4 linked regions of the Saccharomyces cerevisiae S288C genome follow. The gene in region 3 interacts genetically with the main gene of each other region. Each region holds a gene or a part of one and is shown on either strand. Other genes may lie near its edges.

Evidence for each region.
Region 1: mutations in CSF1 (region 3) and CWH41 together harm fitness more than expected from each alone (negative genetic interaction), as found in Saccharomyces cerevisiae (3 studies listed by BioGRID, with this or other methods).
Region 2: mutations in CSF1 (region 3) and PSD2 together harm fitness more than expected from each alone (negative genetic interaction), as found in Saccharomyces cerevisiae (4 studies listed by BioGRID, with this or other methods).
Region 4: mutations in CSF1 (region 3) and ARC18 together harm fitness more than expected from each alone (negative genetic interaction), as found in Saccharomyces cerevisiae (3 studies listed by BioGRID).

What each region holds. Positions count from the first base shown.
Region 1 is NC_001139.9:442,218-448,437, forward strand, and holds CWH41 (mannosyl-oligosaccharide glucosidase), read right to left. Parts: upstream 3,927-6,220; coding exon 1,425-3,926; downstream 1-1,424. Other genes in the region: SCW11 (putative glucan endo-1,3-beta-D-glucosidase), read right to left, coding at 1-692; tryptophan synthase TRP5, read right to left, coding at 4,195-6,220. UniProt on the Saccharomyces cerevisiae protein: Cleaves the distal alpha 1,2-linked glucose residue from the Glc(3)Man(9)GlcNAc(2) oligosaccharide precursor highly specifically. Seems to play a role in beta-1,6-glucan synthesis.
Region 2 is NC_001139.9:833,739-841,058, forward strand, and holds PSD2 (phosphatidylserine decarboxylase 2), read left to right. Parts: upstream 1-3,403; coding exon 3,404-6,820; downstream 6,821-7,320. Other genes in the region: PEX35 (Pex35p), read right to left, coding at 1-744; pseudouridine synthase PUS6, read right to left, coding at 951-2,165; LSO2 (Lso2p), read right to left, coding at 2,649-2,927; methionine--tRNA ligase MSM1, read right to left, coding at 7,086-7,320. UniProt on the Saccharomyces cerevisiae protein: Catalyzes the formation of phosphatidylethanolamine (PtdEtn) from phosphatidylserine (PtdSer). Plays a central role in phospholipid metabolism and in the interorganelle trafficking of phosphatidylserine.
Region 3 is NC_001144.5:312,255-318,660, forward strand, and holds the start of CSF1 (Csf1p), read right to left. Parts: upstream 3,478-6,406; coding exon 1-3,477. Other genes in the region: GPI-anchor transamidase subunit GAA1, read left to right, coding at 3,853-5,697; alanine transaminase ALT1, read right to left, coding at 5,983-6,406. UniProt on the Saccharomyces cerevisiae protein: Tube-forming lipid transport protein which provides phosphatidylethanolamine for glycosylphosphatidylinositol (GPI) anchor synthesis in the endoplasmic reticulum. Required for the glucose and other nutrients uptake at low temperature.
Region 4 is NC_001144.5:861,218-865,564, forward strand, and holds ARC18 (Arc18p), read right to left. Parts: upstream 1,038-4,347; coding exon 501-1,037; downstream 1-500. Other genes in the region: Hsp70 family ATPase SSQ1, read left to right, coding at 1-308; Rho family guanine nucleotide exchange factor ROM2, read left to right, coding at 1,497-4,347. UniProt on the Saccharomyces cerevisiae protein: Functions as a component of the Arp2/3 complex which is involved in regulation of actin polymerization and together with an activating nucleation-promoting factor (NPF) mediates the formation of branched actin networks.

The sequences.
Region 1 (6,220 bases), on a different chromosome or scaffold from region 3:
GAAGAAGAAGTAGAGGACGACGTAGAGGACGACGTAGGTGTATTGGTTGATTCGGTGGACTCCTGAGAAGCAATTGAGGTACTCGTTTGTTGATTCAAAGTTGAAGTCGCAGCTGCTTGGTAAGAATGATGCTGACTTTGAGTGTTGCCTTCAACATTGGCTTCACCGACACCACTCACGATATTTTGTGTGGAAGTAGACGTAGTGGTAGGGGAAGGAGAGGAGGAGATAGAGGTAGAAGTAGTAGCTAATTGTTGCACATCCTCACTAGTACCTGCAGAAACAGACATAGCAGTTTGTTGCGTAGAGACGGCTTGCAAAGTAGATTCTGCTTGAAAAGAGGAGGTTGATTGTGGAATAGTGCTTGGCTGCAAAGTAGAGGTTGGCTGCGAAGATGTACTCATTTCAGCCTTTTTTAAGAGAACTTTAGTGATAGTCGTAGTTGGTTCAGCTGTTGGGTTCACACCTTGTGGAATTAAGGTTGTTGTAAAGGTAACACTATCGCTTATTAGGAATTCGACAGTTGGGGCAATAACAACTTCGGTAGTAGTGGAGTAAAAATCAGTCACAACATTAGTTGTGCTTGCTGTGTGAACTCTCGTTACAACTTCTCTCTTAGGAAGAATCGGTAAAGCTGAGGTTAGATAAGTTAAGCATAGCAGCGATGATAGAAAGCTTATGGGTGAAATCATGATGGTTTTCTATTAGATATTATATCAATGAGTGTAGCGTAATAATAAGTCGATAAACAGTACAGAGAATAGAATAGATTTATTACAGTGGAGGTATGTCAGTAAAGGCTTATTCTTCTAAAAGAGTGGACTGTCTTTGTTGCGTAACTGACGATTATAGTACTGTTGCCTTAATATATAACAGTGTATTTGGATAAGCAGAAGGAAAACACGATCATTGAACTTCAATTTTCTTTCCACTTAAATAGTCCCTCCTCAGATTCTTAATTTGTTTTCGGTGCAGCATATTTTGTTGTCAGTCCTTACACTTTAACATTTTGAGATCTAGTATCCAGCTTGTAAACAATAACATTCCCTAACTTTTATTCATCTTACCGCAGTAAATAGAAAAGACCTCACTTCGCAACCATTAATCCCCAAAAGAAAAAAAAAAATGTGACATTTCATAATGCATGTTTCGAGTGTGTTTTCGATTGTTTATTTGTCTGGCTTTTAGCTGCAATGGCCCAGACTGCTAGTTACCAGTTGCTGGTTTCCACGATTTTTTAACTTTTTCTCACAGCCGCATCGAAATGTAAATAAACGCGAGAAAAAAAAAGCTGAAAATGCTGGCTCTAACTAAGAGATGCGAGGCCCTTTTCGAATAGCTGGAACATTTATAATTTTCATCCTGCATACTGGTACATATCTGGTTACATATCTGTTTATATGACTGAAAATATCTACATAGATTCAGAAGCGTCCAAGGATGTTGACAACAAGTGCTGTCCAGCCTGTGAAATGCTCAGCACCAGTACCATGACCATCTATCGGACTGTAATTTTCATAACAATAACCTTGTTCTTCCCAAACTTTGTATATGTTGTTACTGAGATTAATCTTTAAACTTTGGTACAGTTTCTTGGCATTGCTAGCCTCACCAGCCACGTCGAGAATCACCTCTGGGTAGTAGTATCTCATTGCGTCAAGACACAAGTAATTAATATTCATCCAAATTGGGCCTCTCCAATAGTTTTCATCCTTGCCGAAATAGTCGTCTTGTCTCGATAGTGATAACAGCCCGTAGTCTGAAAAGATTTTTTCTGGGTCACTCATCAAAGCAACTACTTTCTCTAGCTTGGGTGAGTTTTTGGGGATTAGCTTCAATGCAAAGGGCAATACGGAGACGTAACCCTCATGACATACAAACTCCCTAATCTCATCGTCTTCTGGATCGATGCTAATATCACAGTAGCAATTGTCATTTTCACTCCAGTGTAACAAATCCAGATTCTCGACCACCTCTTGCTCAATTTGTGCATATCTTTGCTCGTCCTGTGTTAACTTCAACACGTGAGCAATTTGCTTCATGGATCTTGTCATAACGCCCACCCATGCTAATGCGTCTACGTTCAATTCTGCTACATCTGGTGGTTGTGCTCTAGGATAGTCATCCATACCGCTTGGCAAACAATGAGTGAAGGTACGCCCAACCCATCTATAAACTTCGTTCTTATGAATCTTATCCCATATTCCTTCATCTTCCAATATTTCCTCATATTCATCAATAAGTCCTGTTTGAGATTTTCTGAACCAATTATAGTGCTTCAATAGCTTAGGATAAATTTTCTTGGCATATTCGGTTAGCAAGCCAGGATTGGCTTCTAGATTGTTCGTCATAAACTTGGCTGTCCTACTATTGAACATGACTTGGTGGTAGCTGTCACTGTTGAAATCGCCGATGTTTTCAATGGCCCTAGAAAGCATTTCACTAAATGCTAGCAATAAAGTTGGCGGATTAGCAATATTGGGATTTTGCACCTGAAATTCCTGCGGAACTTTACTCCTTGCCTCATTACCCAGTATAATTTCTCTAGCAATCCAACCACTATCATCTTCGATCATTTCAAACCAGCTCGCTAAGATTTCAAAGGCAAGGTCAAAATCATACTCCATAATTTGTAGAAGATGGAAACCTTCATCCCAATAGAATCCACGTGGGAAAAAGCCACGGCTCGGAACGCTGGTAAACAGTTCAAATGGACCTTCCTCTTTTGCATTCAGCAGTTTGATCTCTGTAAACTGGCTCTCATCAAATTCTGTTTCACGATCAATTAGTTGATTCCCATAGAAATAACCGATTCCTCCTAATAGGTTTGATAGCGTCTCTAAAGCAAATCTTCTTTTGACCTCCACGCTTTCAATTGAGTCGGGACCTTCTCCAAAACTAAACTGCTTATCAAAACGCGCGTTTATCTCATTTAGTGACCAAGTAATCAACTCCGTAACTTGTTCCCTGGTGGAAATACTTTGAGTAGTGCCAAGTTTATTGTAAGTGATATCAAATTGGAACCCATCTTTTTTGGTCAAATCAAATGTCTTTTGTATATAATGAAAATTACCAGGATTAAAATTGTACAAATTTCTAATAGTTAAAACACTTGGTATTAAATCAGCAGGACGCTGCTTTGTCTCTTCCTTTTCCAGTATATCACGTATCGAATCGCTAACTAGAGATTGGAAAACATCACGAGCCTTCCAAACTTCTTTATCCGGGATTTGAAGTGATAAATGACTTGTTTTAGAGCAGTCACTTCCTGGTGCTACTTCCATGGTTTCATATTCCGGATTTTTGAAGTAGTGACCAAAATTGTCCTTTACTGTAAGATGATACTCGCCTAATTCTTTAGAATATCCGAAGAATTTCATGTCATTAGGGCCGTCATGACCTATCATTGCTAAGGAAGATTTTCCATCTATCTCGCCACCATTTTGACTAAAGTACAATACGACAGATGCTGTAGATGGTCTCTTGGGATCCAAAGGCTCACCTTGAACTCTCACTGACCAATTTTCCCCGTTCTTGCTCTTTACAAAATAAACAGTCAAGTTCAAGTTATTTTTTTCATCAATAAAAACTTCTTTACCACCAATTCTTGGATCATACACTTCCCAACCATACTTTTGCAATTTATCCTGAGGCGTTGCAAAATGTCTTAACGAATGTAAGCCATCCTGACTCAAACTGTTGAACCACATGATACCCATAATTAGTGGACTTTCATGGACATATCTGGGCCTCATACCAAAGTAACAATTGGATCTATACGGTGCCCACAGTAAAGATTCATTCGTGAACTTTTGATATTCTTCGAATTCTTGTAGTTTACTAATATCAACGGTGGCAGATGCCAGGAGAACTATGCTGGTTAGTATCCAAAATGTTTTAAACATCTTAGATTTTGAAATAAGCATTGTGAAGCAACCTGAACCGTTATTATCCACTACTTCCTTATTAACAGTTGACGCTAATATAGTGTGTCACGCATACAATAATTGAACTTTTAAATTACGCGAAAATGTGGCTGTTCTGACCGAAATGATCTAAAATTGGTCACGATACTAATCTTGAGCAAATTGAGAGGTAAAAGAGCTGAATATGCTAATGTATCCCGATCGTATATTATATTCGTCTATGTAGTTAAAAAGCTAAATAAAAGCGTTCCTTATCAGATATTACTCATTAGGCAGATGGGTCTTCTTCGAATCTCAAATCCCAACCTATCTTTGGACCTAATTTCGGCAAGACTTCAGCGACACTTTGGACATCTTTATCACCTCTACCAGAAATATTGATAACCAAATGTTGATCAGGCTTCATCGTCTTAGCCAATTCGCAAGCGCCATAAACAGCATGAGAAGATTCCAAAGCGGGAATAATACCTTCTAATTGAGATAATAATTTAAAGCCAAGCAGAGCCTGAGCGTCAGTAGCTGCAATGAATTGAGCACGGCCAGTAGATTTCCAATATGCCAATTCTGGACCGACACCTGGGTAGTCTAACCCAGCAGAAACAGAATGAGTATCATGGACTTGACCATCACTATCTTGCAAGACATAAGTCTTGACACCATGGAAGACACCAGGTCTACCGGCAGTTAGAGTAGCAGAGTGGAACTTTGTATCTACACCATCACCACCGGCTTCCACACCCAATAACTTAACGGAAGTATCATGCTCGAATGGTGAAAACATACCTGTAGAGTTGGAACCACCCCCAACACATGCAACAACTGCGTCAGGTAATTTACCATTGTTCATGGCAGCAAACTGTTCCTTGGTTTCTTTACCAATGACACTTTGGAAAGTTCTAACCAAAGTTGGATATGGGTGAGGACCAATGGCAGAACCGACGACGTAGTAAGTAGTTTTCAAGTTAGTAACCCAAAATCTGAATGCCTCTGAAGTAGCGTCTCTTAGAGTCTTTGTACCATTAGTAACAGCAATTACTTTAGCACCGAGAATTCTCATTCTGAAGACGTTTAAAGCTTGGCGACGAACATCTTCTGCACCCATGAACACAGTACAGGTTAAGCCAAATTTAGCACATGCAGTGGCAGTGGCAACACCGTGTTGACCAGCACCGGTTTCAGCAATAACGTTCTTCTTGCCTAATCTTTTAGCTAGAAGAACTTGTGCTAAAGCATTGTTGATCTTGTGAGATCCCGTGTGGTTAAGATCTTCTCTCTTCAACCAGATTTGAGCACCTTGACAATGCTCAGTTAATCTCTCAGCTTTGTGTAGTGAAGAAGGACGGCCAATATAAGAATACAAGGATTTGAAGTCTTCCCAGAATGTGGGATCGGCGACAGCTTCATCAAAACCCTTTTCCAACTCTCTTAGACATGCATGAAGAGCTTCTGGGACATACTGACCACCAAAGTCCCCAAATCTAATTGGGTGCTTGTGATTTTCATCAAATTCGTCCAGTATTTCCTTCTTAACGTTTGCGGACTTCAAGGACTCTTTTTGAAAGGCAAAGAATTCGTCCTTGGACAGAACCTTATGCTTAGCACCATTTAGAATTCCCTGTACATATTCCTTAGCAACGTCGTACCTTTTGCCCTCTGGAGCATCTCCACATAATGTGACGATTTTGGAACCAATCACTACACCGTCAGCAACACTACCAACTGATTGGAAATGTTCTCTGGTAGAGACACCAAACCCAACGGCCAAAGGAGTATCCTTGGTGTACTTTCTGACTCTAGAGATGAGTTCATCCAAATCACTGGCCACAGAACTTTGAACACCAGTAGTACCCATTCTAGACACAACGTAGACAAACGAATCGGCAATATGCGATAGTAATTCCAATCTTTCGTCGGTGGTAGAAGGAGCCACTAGTGGGATCAGGCTCAAACCATTATCATTGATGTAGTTTCTGACCTTCAACGCCTCCTCTGGTGGCAAATCGACGATGATAAAACCATTAGCACCAGCCTTGGCAGCGTCCTGAATAAATCTTTCTTCACCGTAGTTTAGAATAGGGTTATAGTAACCCATTAGGATTATGGGTACGGTAACACCTTCATTTCTAGCTTGGGAGACCATTTCTAGAGTTTGAGGCAAGGTAACACCGTTTTGCAAAGCCACAGTATTAGATAATTGAATTGTAGGACCATCTGCAATTGGATCAGAGAAGGGCATACCCAATTCGATGATATCTACACCACCATCCTGGAAACCCTTGAGAATAGGGACAGTG
Region 2 (7,320 bases), on a different chromosome or scaffold from region 3:
TATGGGCCAATCATTATGGTTCTTGACCCCAAGGTATTGAGAAAAGTTCCTGACTTCGTGGCCGCCGACATTCTTATTTGATTTCGTCCCTGAAGTAAAAAAGAATTTTAATGTTCTGTGATATACTGCCAAAACTGTGAAAATGGCATTGATTGTGAAGAAATCTATTAAAAATGGCCTATGGTCAAAAAGCACACGGAATGGTAACGAACTCCTGTCCAGTTTGGCAAATAATACAATAATCGCTAAACACACAAGAATTTGCTGGAATTTTATTAATGTACCCTGGGAAAAATTTTTTTTTTTCAACCATTGTGTTAATTTTGCGATCTTTAATTTGGAGGCTATAGCTTCCACAAGAAAGTGTGCGATAATCCACGAAGGTACCTCACCCTTGGTAAGCATTAACGATATTCCTACAATGGAAGACCAGTGAATATAATGATTTTTTAAAAATGGGAACTTCATCAAAGTTGGATATAGTATGTTCAGCAAGACTAATATAGTAGACTCTCTTAGCCATGGCATGATATCATTTATTTGAATATTTTCACCCTGTAATTTTTTCAATTTCCATTTTTTGACATAAAATACTAGGTTTATTCCATAGACTTGGGTTATTCTTTTCAAGATGATGACGAGTTGTTTTCTTCTCTTCTTGTTCAAGAGGAGTAGAAGCCTTCTTATTATCTGCTTGAAGCCAGAAACTGCTTTCCCAGTACCATTTGGACGATTGTGTTTCATATAGTTAGCAAGTGTATACTCTCATTAGCTCTGTTCGCGATGTGTATTTCGTGGTGCTTTATATAGGGTTTTTAACTTTTCCCCATGAACATTCGCTGTTATGTATTCGCAACTAAAAATAATGTCTCTCTTTAATTTTAATTTACATCCAAAGTACGGAAATGGTAACTAAACTATATACAAAAAAAGTTCGCTCAAAAAAAAGTTTAACTATTGTCCAATTGTGCCCATTTTGGTAAATCTGTTTTGAACTTGAATTTGCCATTAATCTCCTCATACTTCCAAGCATGCAACCATAATTCTAGGTCTGATAGCACAGGATCCTTTAAATCAACAGTATGACATTCAGGACAAAATGTTTCCATTGTCCGACAATTATTTTTTGTCTCATCGACAAATTTTTGAAACCTCACTTTCAATTCCTCAGCATCTAAATCCTGCTGATTCTCCCATCTAGGAAACTGAGTTATAAACTTAAGCCTTTCGGGGTATTTTGTAATATGCGAACAATAAACACTATCGTTGACGATGGGATGACCGAGCCTAGCTAAATGGATTCGAATTTGGTGTGTTCTTCCAGTTATTGGCTTACAAGCGACGACAGTTTCATCAGCATGAGAGAAGTATCTTATTGGGTAGAACTTGGTAATAGCATCCTTCGATGTCGATAAACCAACTGGAAACTGTCTCTTTGGATCGATAGAATATATGGGTGTCATTTCCACTGTAACTTTGGAAGTGTCCTCAAAAGTCGTTTCCGCCGCATTTTCATTGTCCAATATCAATTCGGAGTGAGGAAATCTTCCCTTGACCCTTGCCAAGTAGATCTTAATCATATCTCTTGAACGAATACTCTTCTGGATTTCCCCCGCACTCTGACTGTTCTTGGCCAATATCAACAAGCCTGATGTGATCTTGTCTAACCGATAACAAGGAAGAGCATCTACACCATGTAACTTCAGTAATTCAGTAATTGTGTTCTGGTAAAACTGACCGGTTGGATGCACTGGTATACCACTGGGTTTATCAATGACGAGGATACTCTCATCTTCAAAAACAATATTGAATCCCGCTATTCTGCCAGGTAAATCCTCCGCTTCAACTTCCTGGCTACACCATTGTTTTACCGGCGGTTCGTGCTTATGCGTAGTTGTTTCTAAAACATCATGATTCTTGATTATGGTAGTCATGAGATGATCTGGTACCAGCGGCACACCATCTCGGATCAACCTATATGTGCCTTTCCTTATTTGGTCCAAATAATAAGCTCTTGGGCGAAGTTTAAATTCACTAACGAGAACGTCTATTAGTAACTTACCCAACCAGCGCCCCTTCACGAACGCTGATCTTCTGTTATAATAGGGCCGTACCTTTCTCAGTCCATTCTGTGTATATACCTCAATAACTTTGATAGTTGACATACTTGACAATCATCCTTTTGCCCACTGATTGTCTCGAGCAATCGTCAATAAAGTTTTCACAAGAAACATTTATTTGCCTTTTAATGAAAGAAAAAAAGTAAATTTTTCATTAACTTTTATCATTGTTATCAATCTTCTTGTATGACAGCAAGCTATATATACATACATATGCAAATCTAATGTACATAATTTCAACTATTCATACCATTAGTACCATAAAGTCATTCTTTTTACTGTAAACTACACTTGCATTATCCTTCCTCGTCCCTCTTTATTCTTATAACGTTGAACAGTGATTTCTTACCATGTGTATTTTTGTACTCAACCCGCAAAAGATAAGCATCCTCATACAGAAGTATTATTATTACCACTGTTACTTTTATTGTCGTTATTTGTCTTGCGTTTTTATGTTTATGGAGATAAAGTGGGAATGACTTTATCATATGCAATTATTAGCCGCTATAAGGCTAAGATTCTTCAAATTTATTTCATTTTTCTTTTACCCTTGCCACCCTTGCCCAGTTGCTCCTCCTCTGCGGTTAGCAACGCATCGCGCTCCTTTTTAGCTCTTGCTTTTTCTTGTCTTTTTTGCTCTTCCTCTAATTTTTTGGCATTCTCTTTCCTCGAACCTTGTTCCCATTTAGAAGCTTCCTCCGCTTCTAGCTGCTCCATTTGTGCTCTTTGTTTAGCATGTGCCTGATCTCTTTTTCTTGCTAAGCCAGCTGCTTTCTTTGCGGCGGATTCTGAAAATCTTTTACCCATCTTTTTACTTCCTCTTTGCTATTCTATTATTTCCTGTATAGGCAGGTTTTGTGCTCAATTGATAAATTCTTTTACCTATTAAATATAAACTTGAGTTTCAACTTATTCAGCTTTATTTTAAACATTATACAAGTTTTTCATTTTGAGGGGTCTTTAACTGGAAAAAAAAAGCTTTCACGACTCAAAGAAAAAAAAAAAAATTTTTTTAGGGTAAAAAAAAACTAAGGGCTAATATGAAAAATACAAAGGTTATGTTACTTTAAAATGAGGTTTGGAAGAAGGAGAAAGACAAAAAAGCAGGGCACATGTCAAACTCTTGGAAACTTGAGATCCTAGCCCTAACGCATGTGCTACTTCAAGGAATTCTTCTTATATATGACAACTATTCCAATTTGATGCTAAAACTAGCCCAAAGTGGTTGATGCTGTATCAATTGGTAAAGAATCCTCGATTTTCAGGAGCATCCAACGACGAAGATGAGGATTATTAAGGGCAGAAAGCGAGGCAAGAACAAGAAGCCAACGCTAATTTTAAAAATTCATGTCATTCAAGCTGAAAATATTGAAGCCTTGAAGACATTCAATTGTAACCCGGTATGTTTTGTTACCACTAATACATTTTATAGTCAAAAGACGAACAAGCTCAAGAACTCAAATACACACTGGAATCAAACCTTGAGGATCAAACTTCCGAGAAATCCAACATCTGAATGGTTAAGGATTATAGTATACGACGCCCTACCAACCGGAGCTCCCCCTACTACCCCCAGTAGACCAAGGACAACCACTGCAAATACATCTTCATCGACACTGTCAAATTCAGGGCTAAGTTCTCACTCTCATTCGTCGAGAAATTTGAATGTTACGTCCAAAGGTAATCAAACTTCAACATCAATTAATTCAGTATCATCTTCAGCTACACCGGCCCCTTCACATTCTTCCTCTTCTCTCTCAACAACAGGTCCCGGGTCCACACACAAAAATAGGATTAATAGCTATCTATATTTGGGTGAAGCAAAAATTTCATTACTGGATTTATTCAAGAGGAAGGACACCACGACGAGCTATAAATTTTCAATTGAAGCTCAGCGGTACCATCTATACGATATGAAAGGAGGGAAAGACCAAGATTCCTTGAACTGCAACTTTCTAGTGGGCGATATTTTGCTTGGATTTAAGCTAGAATGTAACGTTAAAAGAACCCCGACTTTTCAGGCTTTCAATGCTTGGAGAAATGAGTTGAACACTTACTTGGGCAGAATAGATAGAAATAAGGCCCGCATGAGATCTTCTAGTTCTTTGCCACCTCCACTAGAAGATATGTTGAGCAATAGTTCAGCTGTTAGTGGAAATGAAATACGACGCGAGAAACCATATAGCGATACTGATCTAGCCCACGATGAAGAGGTCAATGCCGAGGATGAAATAGATGCTGAGGAATCTATTGAAGATATGAATAGCAGCGGCAGCATTTGTACGGAGAGGAGGTACGATATAGACAATGATACTATATTCGACTCTATATCTGAGGTTGTTTCGCTAAATGATGAAGAACTAGATATTCTAAATGATTTTGAAGAAGCAGATCATCCAAATGTGCCAGACATAAATGTGCATGACATCGACGAAGATACCCGTATCAGTCTATCTTCAATGATAACAGCTTTAGATGAATATGATATCGTAGAACCAGAAGATGTTGCAAAATTACCTGCAGTGTCGGAAAATGACATAACATCAGTGGATGACGAAGAATCTGAAAACCAACAGGAAAGTGATGAGGAGTTTGATATATATAATGAGGATGAGCGTGAAGATTCTGATTTTCAATCAAAAGAATACATTGGGAGTCGGCTTTTACACCTGCAAAGGGGTAAACATAATAAATCATATGCAAATTACTTATACAGAAGAGCAAAAAGTAACTTTTTTATATCGAAAAAGGAACATGCGATGGGGGTAGTATTTATGCATATTGGGGCTATCAAAAATTTACCTGCATTAAGGAATCGGTTGTCCAAGACTAATTATGAAATGGATCCATTTATCGTTATTTCGTTTGGTAGAAGAGTATTCAAGACATCTTGGAGAAAACATACTTTAAACCCAGAATTTAATGAATATGCCGCTTTCGAAGTTTTTCCCCATGAAACGAATTTTGCTTTCAGTATCAAAGTTGTTGATAAAGACTCATTTTCATTCAATGATGACGTTGCAAAATGCGAACTGGCTTGGTTTGATATGCTGCAACAGCAACAACATGAAAACGAATGGATACCTTATGAGATACCATTGGATCTCACTGTTGAGCCAGCACATGCTCCTAAGCAACCGGTATTATATTCGAGCTTCAAATATGTTTCATATCCGTTCTTAAAAAAGAGCTTTTGGAAAGAAGCTGTTGACACATCAGTCAACTTAGAGAGACTCGACATTATTCAAGTAATGCTCTATCTTGAACGTCTTGGTTCATTCACGATGGCCGATTCTTTTGAACTCTTTCAGCATTTCAATAAATCTGCTTGGGCCGGCCAGAGCATTACTAGATCACAATTAGTTGAAGGGCTACAGTCATGGAGAAAATCCACTAATTTTAAACGCATCTGGACATGTCCTAGATGCATGCGTTCATGCAAACCAACTAGAAATGCTAGACGTTCTAAACTGGTTCTAGAAAATGACTTGATAACCCATTTTGCCATATGTACGTTTTCAAAAGAACACAAAACTTTAAAGCCGTCGTACGTCTCATCTGCATTTGCATCCAAGAGATGGTTCTCTAAGGTTTTGATAAAATTAACTTATGGTAAATATGCTTTGGGATCTAACAATGCAAACATCTTGGTTCAAGACCGAGACACAGGGATAATTATTGAGGAAAAAATAAGCGCACACGTAAAGTTGGGAATGAGGATTATATACAATGGTAAAAGTCCCGAGTCTAAAAAATTTAGATCCCTCTTGAAGACTTTATCAATCAGGCAAGGCAAAAAATTTGACAGCACTGCATCTGCCAAACAAATTGAACCTTTCATAAAGTTTCACTCGCTAGACCTTTCACAATGCCGAGATAAAGATTTTAAAACATTCAATGAATTTTTTTACAGGAAACTAAAACCAGGAAGCCGGCTGCCTGAAAGTAATAATAAAGAAATATTGTTTTCACCAGCAGATTCAAGATGCACAGTGTTCCCAACTATACAAGAATCGAAGGAAATATGGGTGAAAGGAAGAAAATTTTCTATTAAGAAACTAGCCAATAACTATAATCCGGAAACATTTAATGACAATAACTGCAGTATTGGTATATTTAGACTGGCGCCACAAGATTATCACCGGTTTCACTCACCATGTAATGGTACGATTGGAAAACCTGTATATGTGGATGGAGAGTATTATACTGTAAATCCAATGGCCGTTCGTAGTGAGTTAGACGTCTTTGGTGAAAATATCAGAGTTATTATCCCCATCGATTCTCCTCAATTTGGCAAACTACTGTACATACCTATTGGTGCAATGATGGTTGGATCCATACTATTGACCTGCAAAGAAAACGATGTAGTTGAGAGTGGACAGGAGCTGGGCTATTTTAAATTTGGAGGTTCTACTATAATAATCATTATCCCGCACAACAACTTCATGTTTGATTCCGACCTTGTGAAAAACTCTTCAGAACGCATTGAAACGTTAGTCAAAGTCGGGATGAGTATAGGACACACATCAAATGTGAATGAATTGAAGAGAATCCGTATTAAAGTAGACGACCCAAAGAAAATTGAACGGATCAAGAGAACAATTAGTGTTAGCGATGAAAATGCCAAGAGTACAGGAAATGTAACATGGGAATATCATACTTTACGGGAAATGATGAATAAAGATTTTGCTGGGCTATGAAGCCGCCGAAAAATTGGCTGTAGTTAGTGGTTACCAAAATGGAAAAAAAAAAAAAACATGAACAATCTCCCTCAGACTTTATTATAGACTATAGCGTGTACAAACAAGTCATCGTTGATAATGAAAGCAATGGTTTCATACCAGGAAATTTCCTATGAAAAATATGCATTTTTATTAGTAACAAAAGAAACTATATTCCTAGTCCTCTTGCAGAAAATACGATATAATACTTAAGTTAATATTTACAGTGCAGTAAGTACCTTTTTCATGACCTCATATTCGTTTGTTCCTCTTGCAACCTGAATGGAATTTTTTTCAAAGGTACTTCTCGGCCTTTCTTGTTAGATTGCTTTCCATATGTTTTATCGGAACCCAATCTAGCATAATTTATAGTCCTTTTCTCCTTTGAAACATCAATACGATCTAGGAAACTTTGTGAGAGAGATGGTATAATGGATTGGCATAAAATGGAGAGGATTCTAGACGTTTCCATAGCCAAA
Region 3 (6,406 bases):
CTCCAGAAGGGTAGCATACTCGCCCACAATATCTTCAATGATATAATCTATAGTATCAGGCAAAGTGGGAAGAGGTAAAGTTGGGATAGACGAAGATGGTGCTATAGCCCCGTACAGGTTTTGGTATGTATCCGAATCCTGATAGAACAGCGGAAGAAGAAAAGGACACCTATGATAGGGTGAATCGTGTATTGTTATATATCTGCGTTGTTCTGATCTTTTTTTATCGATATCCTTGTATTGCTCAAAGTTTGTAAATCTTAATTTTGTTTCGAATTTGAGAAATGATGTGTCTACGCCATCGCCCATCACGCAATTTAACGAAATTGTCAATTTTGGAATTTTCACGTCTATTCTTTGTGAATATTTTTCGTTTTCAAAGTCGATCAAAGTAAACAATATCGATTCAGCACTAATAACTGATTGAGATTTCATCACCGGATCTTTAAGGCCTATTCTTATTTTTTCAACGTGCACGGTTAGCGAGGTCATATCATTAATGGTCTCAGTGTCATATAATAATATATTTTCCAAGTCATTGTAGCCAAAACCTATCTTATAAAAGGAATTAAAGAATCCCTTTATAAATTCAATATCTGAATCAATGCATAAATCTCCGAGATTGATATCCCATTGACAAAAGTAGGTAGGTTCTGTGGGTGGTAATCCATACATTCTATGTCCATGAATGGTGAGGTCCGAAAGCAATCCGTGCTCTTGCTCATCAGCTCCGTTATTACGACGTATAAAATCAAATACTTCATTTATTTGTTTTGAAACGTGCCGCTTTATTGAAGTCCCGTTGAGAACCGCCATTATGTCCATATAATAATTACAACTTCTGAAATCCACTACAAGTTCGGCAAAATGTAGTGCAATGCATGGATCAAAACTGTAAATCGTTTCTGGTAATATCAGAGCACCATCCCAAACCGAAAATGTGAACCAAATATCAGTTTCGTTGGTAGTCCTTTTCAAATCTGACCTTTTCATAGGACCTTTATCCTCAGATTCGTTCTTTAGACTGCTATTTTGGTACCCTGAATCTACAGTAGATGCCAAATCTGCCACCGAGCTTTTCGTAGTGACATCTCCGACTTCCCTAGCGCCAAGGACACCTGTGTACTCTTCTGACGTCACAAAATTAAAAAATTCACCGAAGTAATTCATCTTTACGTTTGTTAAATACCTCATGACAAACCCATAGCAGTGAAGTACTGTACTCTTGCTGTTACACTCTATGACTAGCGTATCGACATTATCAATATCTAACTCGGAATAGAGAAGGTAAGAACCTTTAATTGTAAAGTCGTATGCTCTCCCCACTTCTTTATGTTTCATGAATTCGTTCAATGTATTCCAAGGGGGGGTATTTAACATCATTCTGAACATTGGAGTTGAGATCTCGTAGGACATATCTGTGTATGTCCCCAAAATACTCTCACGGGGTACCGTGACATCAATTGAAAGCTTATCACCATGAAGGGATAAATAACAGTTTTCGTTAAAATCTAACGGATTGTTAACAATATTGTGATCATTGACGTTTAAGTAAATGGAATATCCTTCCATTTCCCAATTGACTTTGTATACGAATGGTCTAAAAAGTTCGTAAGGCGTAGGATCACCAGCGGAAAAGTCTGAAAGCGTATCTGCAACTAAAGTTATATGCTCACGTAGCAGAAACGCCTCTAATTGTTCTGACTTCATGTTAATTATCCATATAGCTTTGCTATTCCAACCCAATGGATATCCAATATCCCCATCAATATCGAATACCTTGCTTTTTAACAAAATATCGTGATTAACACTTGACCTAATTTCGGTTTCCAGGAAATGAACATGGAAATTATTCTGAAAACCTTGCACTGTAGGACAAACACTTATATTGAAATTTGCATAGGTGTCCTTACAAAATCGGAGATCCATCCATCCAAATGGCCTATATTCTTCATTAGTTTCTTTGTAGTGTTTCAAAAATTCGGGGTCTTTGCTACTTTCCCTCGTCGGTATACGCCAAGTAGTATCTTCCATTATTGATATATTCATCCTGAAAAGTGTATATATTCTTCTAGAACCTGGCGGGAGTTTTTTTATAGGTTTGGCTGTCCTTGAAACTACCGGTGATAGAACTCTTTGTAGATGACTGACTTGTCTTTGAGCCCAAGGTCCGTAACAGATGGATCCTCCGTGAATTTGAACATCTAAAGCAAAATCTGGAGGTGCTCCGTTATTGCCCACATCTGGTCCATCAATATCAGGTATTGTCGGATGTGCACCATGTGGCACAACGCCCGGAACATCCACGTCATATGCAATTGTGACCTTTGGGCATTTTAAAATTGATGTAAATTTAGCATATTCATGGTTCGTCAAATCGAACTCAACATCATCTAAATCACTTGCTTTAGCGTCGCCCGCAGAAGCCTTATAAAGAGATAAACCTTTCCATTTATGATAGAAATTGTCATCTGATGTGCCTGCGCTTTTTTTAGTCTTTTTCGGTACAACAGGCTTGGTTACTATCTGAAAGACTCGTACAAACGTTTTCCATAACTTTGACACTTTCCCTCTATCTATTTTAAACTTCAATCCAATAGCATCATCGTAACCAATATTTTGTTTGATAGAAATTTCGAAGTTTTTGAATTCCATCTGTGTTTTATTTCTGTATAAATCTAATCGCTCTTTTGGAGGTAAAACATCTATTATGCCTTTTCCACTTTCATAACTTAGAATCATAACAGATGGCGTGAATTTGTTTCCTAACAGTAGGGAACCGCGGCTAAATTTAAGCTCAATTGGTAAAAACATCAGTAGCTTTGGATGTTTGCCGATATCTGTTTCTTGGTAGTCCCTGTCATTAACAATTGATGCATCAGAGTTCGTTGTGTATGCAGATTCGCTTAGATCTTCATCTAATTTATCAGCACTACTTCCATCGCTAAAAGGTTCAGGAAAAGAATGCTCATTAAGGTATTTTTCAAATTTATCGCGTTCATCTTTTGATAGTAAGTTTATAACATTATCGTACGCCACTGTTCTGTTGTAAATAAAAATTTCTAGACCTTCACATTCTACGGAAATTTTACAGGGAAGCTTTGCTTTTTTGCCAGAAGAAGACTTGTTATTCTCTATCAATTCTGCTTTTCTGCAATTTAAAAGCCAGTATTTCCATGTTAAACTACCCTCTAATACCGAAATTGTATAATCTTTGTGTATTACGGAAAGGTTTTTAAAATGTATTCGACCACCTAGTAAGGAGACACGAAGTGTCTCAACATTTATCTTGATTTTCGCTCGTTTCCATAGTAGCCATTCTAATATAAAACTTACAAGGTATGCATAGATTCTTCCCATGTAGAATATCATTGTCAAACATACTACTACCGTGAGAATCCAATCTACTAAAAAGACCCAGCTAAAGTCCTTTTGGTGTGTCAATGGAACACCACGTAATTGTGAAATAGCTTCCATGCTTGCTAACTTATTACCGTCAATAGAAGACTTGAGTCAGGTGGCTTTAATGAGTACTATTCTTTTTTTTTTTCCAAAGAGCACTATGTTGATAATACCGCAGTAATTTTTTTTGAGTATCCTGTAGCCTAGAAAGGTTGAAGCTTATAAAACCGTGCCAACAGCTTTATAGTGGGGAGTTTGGCTTCCCTCTATTTGTATATTGATCGCCATCCCTACGAAGTTATTGGGAACGCATCGTGAACCTCTCACTTTAATGCCAGCGGTAGAAAAAAAAGTCATAAACAATACACGCCGGCTACACTTAGAAAGAAATGACATTTGCTGTCTTATAAAAGGACTTGACAGACCAAAGACGCGTATAATACACCAAGAATGGCCTTATTGGAGAAGTTGCATCGAAGGATTGTTGATATGGGGCTTGTCCCGCGTATAATCGCCTTATTACCAGTTATTTCCATGCTATGCGCTCTATTTGGGTTTATTTCTATAGCTATTCTGCCTATGGATGGACAGTACAGAAGAACATACATTTCTGAGAATGCATTGATGCCTTCACAAGCGTATAGTTACTTTAGAGAATCTGAATGGAACATTTTGAGGGGCTATCGATCTCAAATTAAAGAAATGGTAAACATGACTTCTATGGAAAGAAACAATTTGATGGGTTCTTGGTTACAAGAATTTGGTACTAAGACTGCTATTTACGAAAATGAACAATATGGAGAAACATTGTACGGTGTAATGCACGCTCCTAGGGGTGATGGAACAGAAGCGATGGTGCTTGCCGTTCCATGGTTTAATTCAGATGATGAATTCAATATTGGCGGCGCAGCTTTGGGTGTATCTTTAGCAAGATTTTTCTCACGTTGGCCAGTATGGTCCAAGAATATAATTGTTGTCTTCAGCGAAAATCCTCGTGCAGCATTAAGATCATGGGTTGAGGCATACCATACTTCCTTAGATTTGACTGGTGGTTCCATTGAAGCTGCTGTTGTGTTGGATTATTCGAGTACGGAAGATTTCTTCGAGTATGTAGAAATCTCATACGACGGTCTGAATGGTGAGCTGCCCAATTTGGATCTTGTCAACATCGCTATATCCATTACGGAACATGAAGGTATGAAAGTTTCTTTGCACGGTCTACCCAGTGATCAGTTAACTAATAATAATTTCTGGTCAAGATTAAAAATATTATGCCTGGGAATAAGGGATTGGGCGTTGTCCGGTGTTAAAAAGCCCCATGGTAACGAGGCATTTAGCGGCTGGAGGATTCAATCTGTAACATTGAAAGCACATGGAAACAGTGGTCATGATATTACTACATTTGGACGTATACCCGAAGCAATGTTTCGCTCTATTAATAACCTTTTGGAAAAATTTCACCAATCGTTCTTCTTTTATTTGTTATTAGCACCACGTCAGTTCGTATCCATTAGTAGTTATTTGCCAAGCGCTGTGGCTTTATCTATAGCATTCGCCATAAGTTCATTAAATGCATTTATAAACAATGCTTATGCAAATATATCCTTATTTTCCGAGTATAATTTGGTAGCGTTGTTGGTTTGGTTCGTGTCATTGGTGATATCATTTGTTGTTTCACAAGCGTTTCTTCTAATACCTTCATCGGGATTATTGATGACAATTAGCATGGCATCTTGTTTTTTACCTTTGATACTTTCCAGAAAAATTCACATCTCAGAACCACTATCATACAGGTTGAAAAATGTTGCTTTTTTATATTTCAGTTTGGTTTCAACATCTTTGCTAATGATAAACTTTGCAATGGCTTTACTGATCGGCACATTGGCATTTCCTATGACATTTGTGAAGACCATTGTTGAAAGTTCTAGCGAACATGAGGTGACAACTCAATCCTCTAACCCAATAAAAACTGAGCCGAAAGATGAGATAGAGCTCGTCGAGAATCACATGGATACAACGCCAGCAACCCCCCAACAACAGAAACAAAAACTAAAAAATTTAGTACTATTAATTTTGACAAATCCATTTATTTCAATAACCTTATTCGGACTATTTTTTGATGATGAATTTCATGGATTTGATATAATAAACAAACTGGTTTCAGCATGGTTGGATTTGAAATGTTGGAGTTGGTTTGTACTTTGTATAGGTTGGCTTCCATGTTGGCTATTGATATTAGCGTCATCGTTTGAATCTAAATCTGTCGTAGTAAGGTCGAAAGAAAAGCAAAGTTAGGTGCCATTGGTAAGAAGTAAAGGATTAACGGGTGTTCGAACTACGCAATTGATTTTATACGCACAAACATTACAAATCGAAGCAAAAGAAGATGAAATGATATGATATACTGATACAAATATGTATTAAATAAAACATAAGTATTGATGGAAACATGGCATAGAGAAGCGAAGATGCGATAATATCAAATAACTATATGTGAGTTGTGGAAGAAAGAAACGATCACATTATTATAATAAACTAGCTATTTAAATGTTTATTGAAGACTGTTCTGCCCCCTTTTATTCAGTCACGGTATTGGTCAAAAAATTCTTTATGGAAACTTTCCCATTTCTTAATCCATTCCAGACCAGGTGCCAAAAATGTTGTTCTTAAATGGTAAGTACCAGGTTCTTGACCAAACCCAGAACCGGGAACAGTGCAAATGCCAGTAGATTCTAACAACTTCTTACAATAAAATTCATCCGGAGTTAACTCTAAGTGGCGAGCTTCTTGAACTGCCTTGAAAGGTAAGTCTATCTTAGGGAATAAATACATGGCACCTTGAGGCTTTTGACATTCAATGCCTTCTAAAGAGTTAAATGTCTCATACAGTGTCATTGCTCTTGTAATTAACTTTTCATGGATGGAGTTACGTTCTGCTTGGTCCGACTCGAATGATTCCTCCCCTTCCACTGGTGGACGAACCATCAAATCAACCAAAGCTTGA
Region 4 (4,347 bases), 550 kb from region 3:
ATGCAAATAGGGCACAAGATAACTTGATCAGGCAAAGGTTAGAGCTTATCTCTAAGGCTGACATTATGATAAGTGATACTGAGAATTTATTTAAAAGATATGAAAAACTGATTTCTAGCGAAAAAGAGTATTCTAATATCGTAGAGGACATCAAAGCTCTGAGACAAGCTATAAAGAATTTTAAGGCTAACGAAAATGACATGTCAATTGATGTAAACGGAATAAAAAAAGCTACGGATGCGCTACAGGGTAGGGCATTAAAATTATTCCAAAGCGCAACAAAAAACCAGCAGAATCAAGGTAAATAAGTGAACAAAACACAAATAAGACTTGTATATTAACGTGTATATCGTTCATTAAAGCATATTTTGACGTATTTATACTTTATACATTTATATATTTCTTTCCCGTTTCAAATTTTCGGTTCAAATAAAGTTGCATGTGGATTATTATGTTCCCATAAATTCTAGTTTTTATTATTTTCCTTGCACCGTATACCTTTATAGAGATTTGTTCATGAATCTTCTTCTTGTGAACGCCAACCAAAACTTTGAGGGATATTCCTTAGAATCTGTAGAGCTATAGACTCTTTCTAATAGTCTCATTGCCAATTCTTGACGGAATTGCTGAATATAAGTCTTCAACAAGTCCATCGAATTATGATCTTGTACTGGAACTTGGTAAACATTATTCAGAGGGAAACCCGGTGTACCTGGTAAAGTAAAGTTGTCCAAGGCCACATTGGTTAACACTTTGACGGCTTCGTTAAATGACGTTGTTATTTTCAAATGGGCTAGGCAATCATTGATAAAGAGAATTCCGTAGATGAGCACTCTGTCGGCGGGTGATTTAATTTCAAAATTCTTGAAGAAGGAATTGGCACGAAATAGGTCCAAGCACTCGTCGATAATATCGTAATCGGAATTGCTGGGGTATGCAGGACCCCTGAACTTAGTGTTCAAGGGCAGAAGCGCAAAGTTCCCTACCATGCGGTCAGTGTTAGGATCTACAGGGAAAGTCGAGTGATACGCAGGCATTTATTAATATACTGGGAGTGGAGAGACTGATAATACCAATAATCTTCCTTTATTGATGTTTGTTACTGCGCACCAAGTGTTTAATTTATTGTTATTCATTGTTATACTAAACCAAACCGCAACGGAAAGGATAGGGGTTCGTGGTGGATGATCCGCGTAACGGCCGAGTCTGTGAAACTGAGAGAGAATGATAGTGAAAACAATGGTATGGAAGTCCGAGGTCCTAAGGCTTGAAGAAAGTTTTTAAAGGGCATTATGACCAGTGAGTACTGACGACCTAATTTAATAACAGTATTGAGCCGATTAGGTTTTCCTGGATTTTTTTTTTGCTGTTTTATAGCTATTTTTTTATTTGTTGTTTGTGGTCATTAATATATTCATTCGCTCTGTTAGTGTAATCGATTACAGTGCTCTATTACTGCTGACTTAATTGGACAATTCATCTCTTTTCCTGCGGTTATGAGCGAAACCAACGTTGACAGCTTAGGGGACAGAAATGACATATACTCCCAAATATTTGGTGTAGAAAGGAGGCCAGATTCCTTCGCTACTTTTGATAGTGACTCGCACGGAGACATAAGTTCTCAGCTGCTGCCTAATAGAATCGAAAATATCCAGAATCTAAATGTTCTGCTTTCTGAAGACATTGCTAATGACATCATTATTGCCAAGCAGAGGAGACGTTCTGGAGTTGAAGCCGCCATCGATGATTCTGATATACCAAATAACGAAATGAAGGGGAAAAGCTCAAATTACATTTTATCGCAGCAGACTAATATTAAGGAAGTTCCAGATACACAAAGTTTGTCTAGTGCTGATAATACACCTGTGAGCAGTCCAAAGAAGGCAAGAGATGCCACATCTTCCCATCCCATTGTTCATGCTAAATCGATGTCCCATATATATTCAACGAGTAATAGTGCTAGTAGACAAGCCAAGCACTATAATGACCACCCTTTGCCTCCAATGTCTCCAAGAAATGAAGTTTACCAGAAGAATAAAAGTACTACAGCTTTTGTGCCTAAGAGGAAACCTTCGCTCCCGCAACTAGCACTTGCTGGTCTTAAGAAGCAGAGCAGTTTTTCCACCGGCAGTGCATCAACCACTCCTACACAGGCTAGAAAATCGCCTTTGCAAGGGTTTGGTTTCTTTTCGAGACCAAGTTCCAAAGACTTGCACGAACAGCACCAACATCACCAGCATATTCAGCATAATAATATTAACAATCATAATAATAATAATACTAATAATAATGGCGCACATTATCAAGTGGGTAGTAGTAACAGTAATTACCCTCAACATTCACATTCTATATCATCTAGATCGATGTCGTTGAACTCATCTACTCTAAAAAATATTGCATCATCTTTTCAATCGAAGACTTCTAACAGCAGGAAAGCTACGCAAAAATATGATATAACTTCCAACCCATTCTCAGATCCTCATCATCATCATCATCATCATCACTCTTCAAACAGTCACAGTAGCCTAAATAATGTCCACGGGTCTGGAAACTCCTCAAGTGTTATGGGAAGCTCGTCTAATATTGGGTTGGGTCTTAAAACGAGAGTTTCTTCCACCTCATTAGCTTTAAAAAGATACACTTCGGTTTCAGGAACTTCTCTATCTTCTCCACGTAGAAGTAGTATGACACCTTTGTCGGCATCTAGACCTGTTATGAGCGCTTCATCAAAAAAACCTCAGGTATATCCAGCTTTGTTGTCAAGAGTCGCCACAAAATTTAAAAGTTCGATACAACTCGGGGAACATAAGAAGGATGGATTAGTTTACCGTGACGCATTTACAGGGCAGCAGGCAGTCGATGTCATCTGTGCTATCATTAGAACTTCTGATAGAAACTTAGCCTTGTTATTTGGTAGATCACTAGATGCACAAAAGCTGTTCCATGATGTGGTATACGAGCACAGGTTAAGAGATTCACCACATGAAGTTTACGAATTTACAGATAACTCAAGATTTACAGGAACAGGTTCCACAAACGCCCATGATCCACTGATGCTACTCCCAAACTCATCATCTTTTAATTCCGGGAACCACTCTTATCCGAATTCCGGAATGGTTCCATCAAGTTCAACTTCATCTTTGAATAGTGATCAGGCAACTTTGACAGGGTCGAGGCTACATATGAGTAGTTCATTGTCCCAGCAAAAGAACCCTGCAGCCATTCATAACGTCAATGGTGTGTTTACATTACTGGCGGAATGCTATTCCCCTACGTGCACAAGAGACGCTTTGTGTTACTCTATTTCGTGTCCAAGACGTCTTGAGCAACAAGCAAGGTTAAATCTGAAACCAAATGGCGGCCTGAAACGTAATATATCAATGGCATTGGATGATGATGACGAAGAAAAGCCATCTTGGACAAGTTCCGTATCTAAAGAGGATTGGGAAAACTTACCAAAAAAGGAAATAAAAAGACAAGAGGCTATTTATGAAGTTTATATCACGGAGAAGAACTTTGTAAAATCATTAGAAATTACAAGAGACACATTCATGAAGACTTTGGCTGAAACAAATATTATTTCAGCAGATATTAGAAAAAATTTCATCAAGCATGTTTTTGCACATATAAACGATATCTATTCAGTGAATAGACGTTTTTTGAAGGCTTTAACTGATAGGCAAAGAAGTTCACCAGTTGTGAGAGGAATTGGGGACATTGTTTTAAGATTCATTCCATTTTTTGAACCATTTGTTTCATATGTCGCTTCAAGACCATATGCGAAGTACTTGATTGAAACCCAAAGATCAGTCAATCCCTATTTTGCTAGATTTGATGACGATATGATGAGCTCCTCCTTACGTCATGGTATTGATTCGTTTTTATCTCAAGGTGTTTCAAGACCAGGTCGATATATGCTATTGGTCAAAGAAATCATGAAATCTACTGACCCCGAGAAGGACAAAAGTGATTATGAAGATTTAAGCAAAGCCATGGATGCATTAAGGGATTTTATGAAAAGGATTGATCAAGCAAGTGGTGCTGCACAAGATAGACATGATGTAAAATTGTTGAAACAAAAGATTCTTTTCAAAAACGAATACGTTAATTTAGGATTAAATGACGAAAGGAGAAAAATTAAACATGAAGGTATACTATCACGGAAGGAGTTGTCAAAATCGGACGGAACAGTTGTTGGTGACATACAATTTTATCTTCTAGATAATATGCTCTTATTTTTAAAGGCCAAAGCAGTTAATAAATGGCACCAGCATAAGGTATTCCAAAGGCCCATTCCATTGCCATTGTTATTTGCATGTCCAGGTGAAGATATGCCTGCGTTGAGGA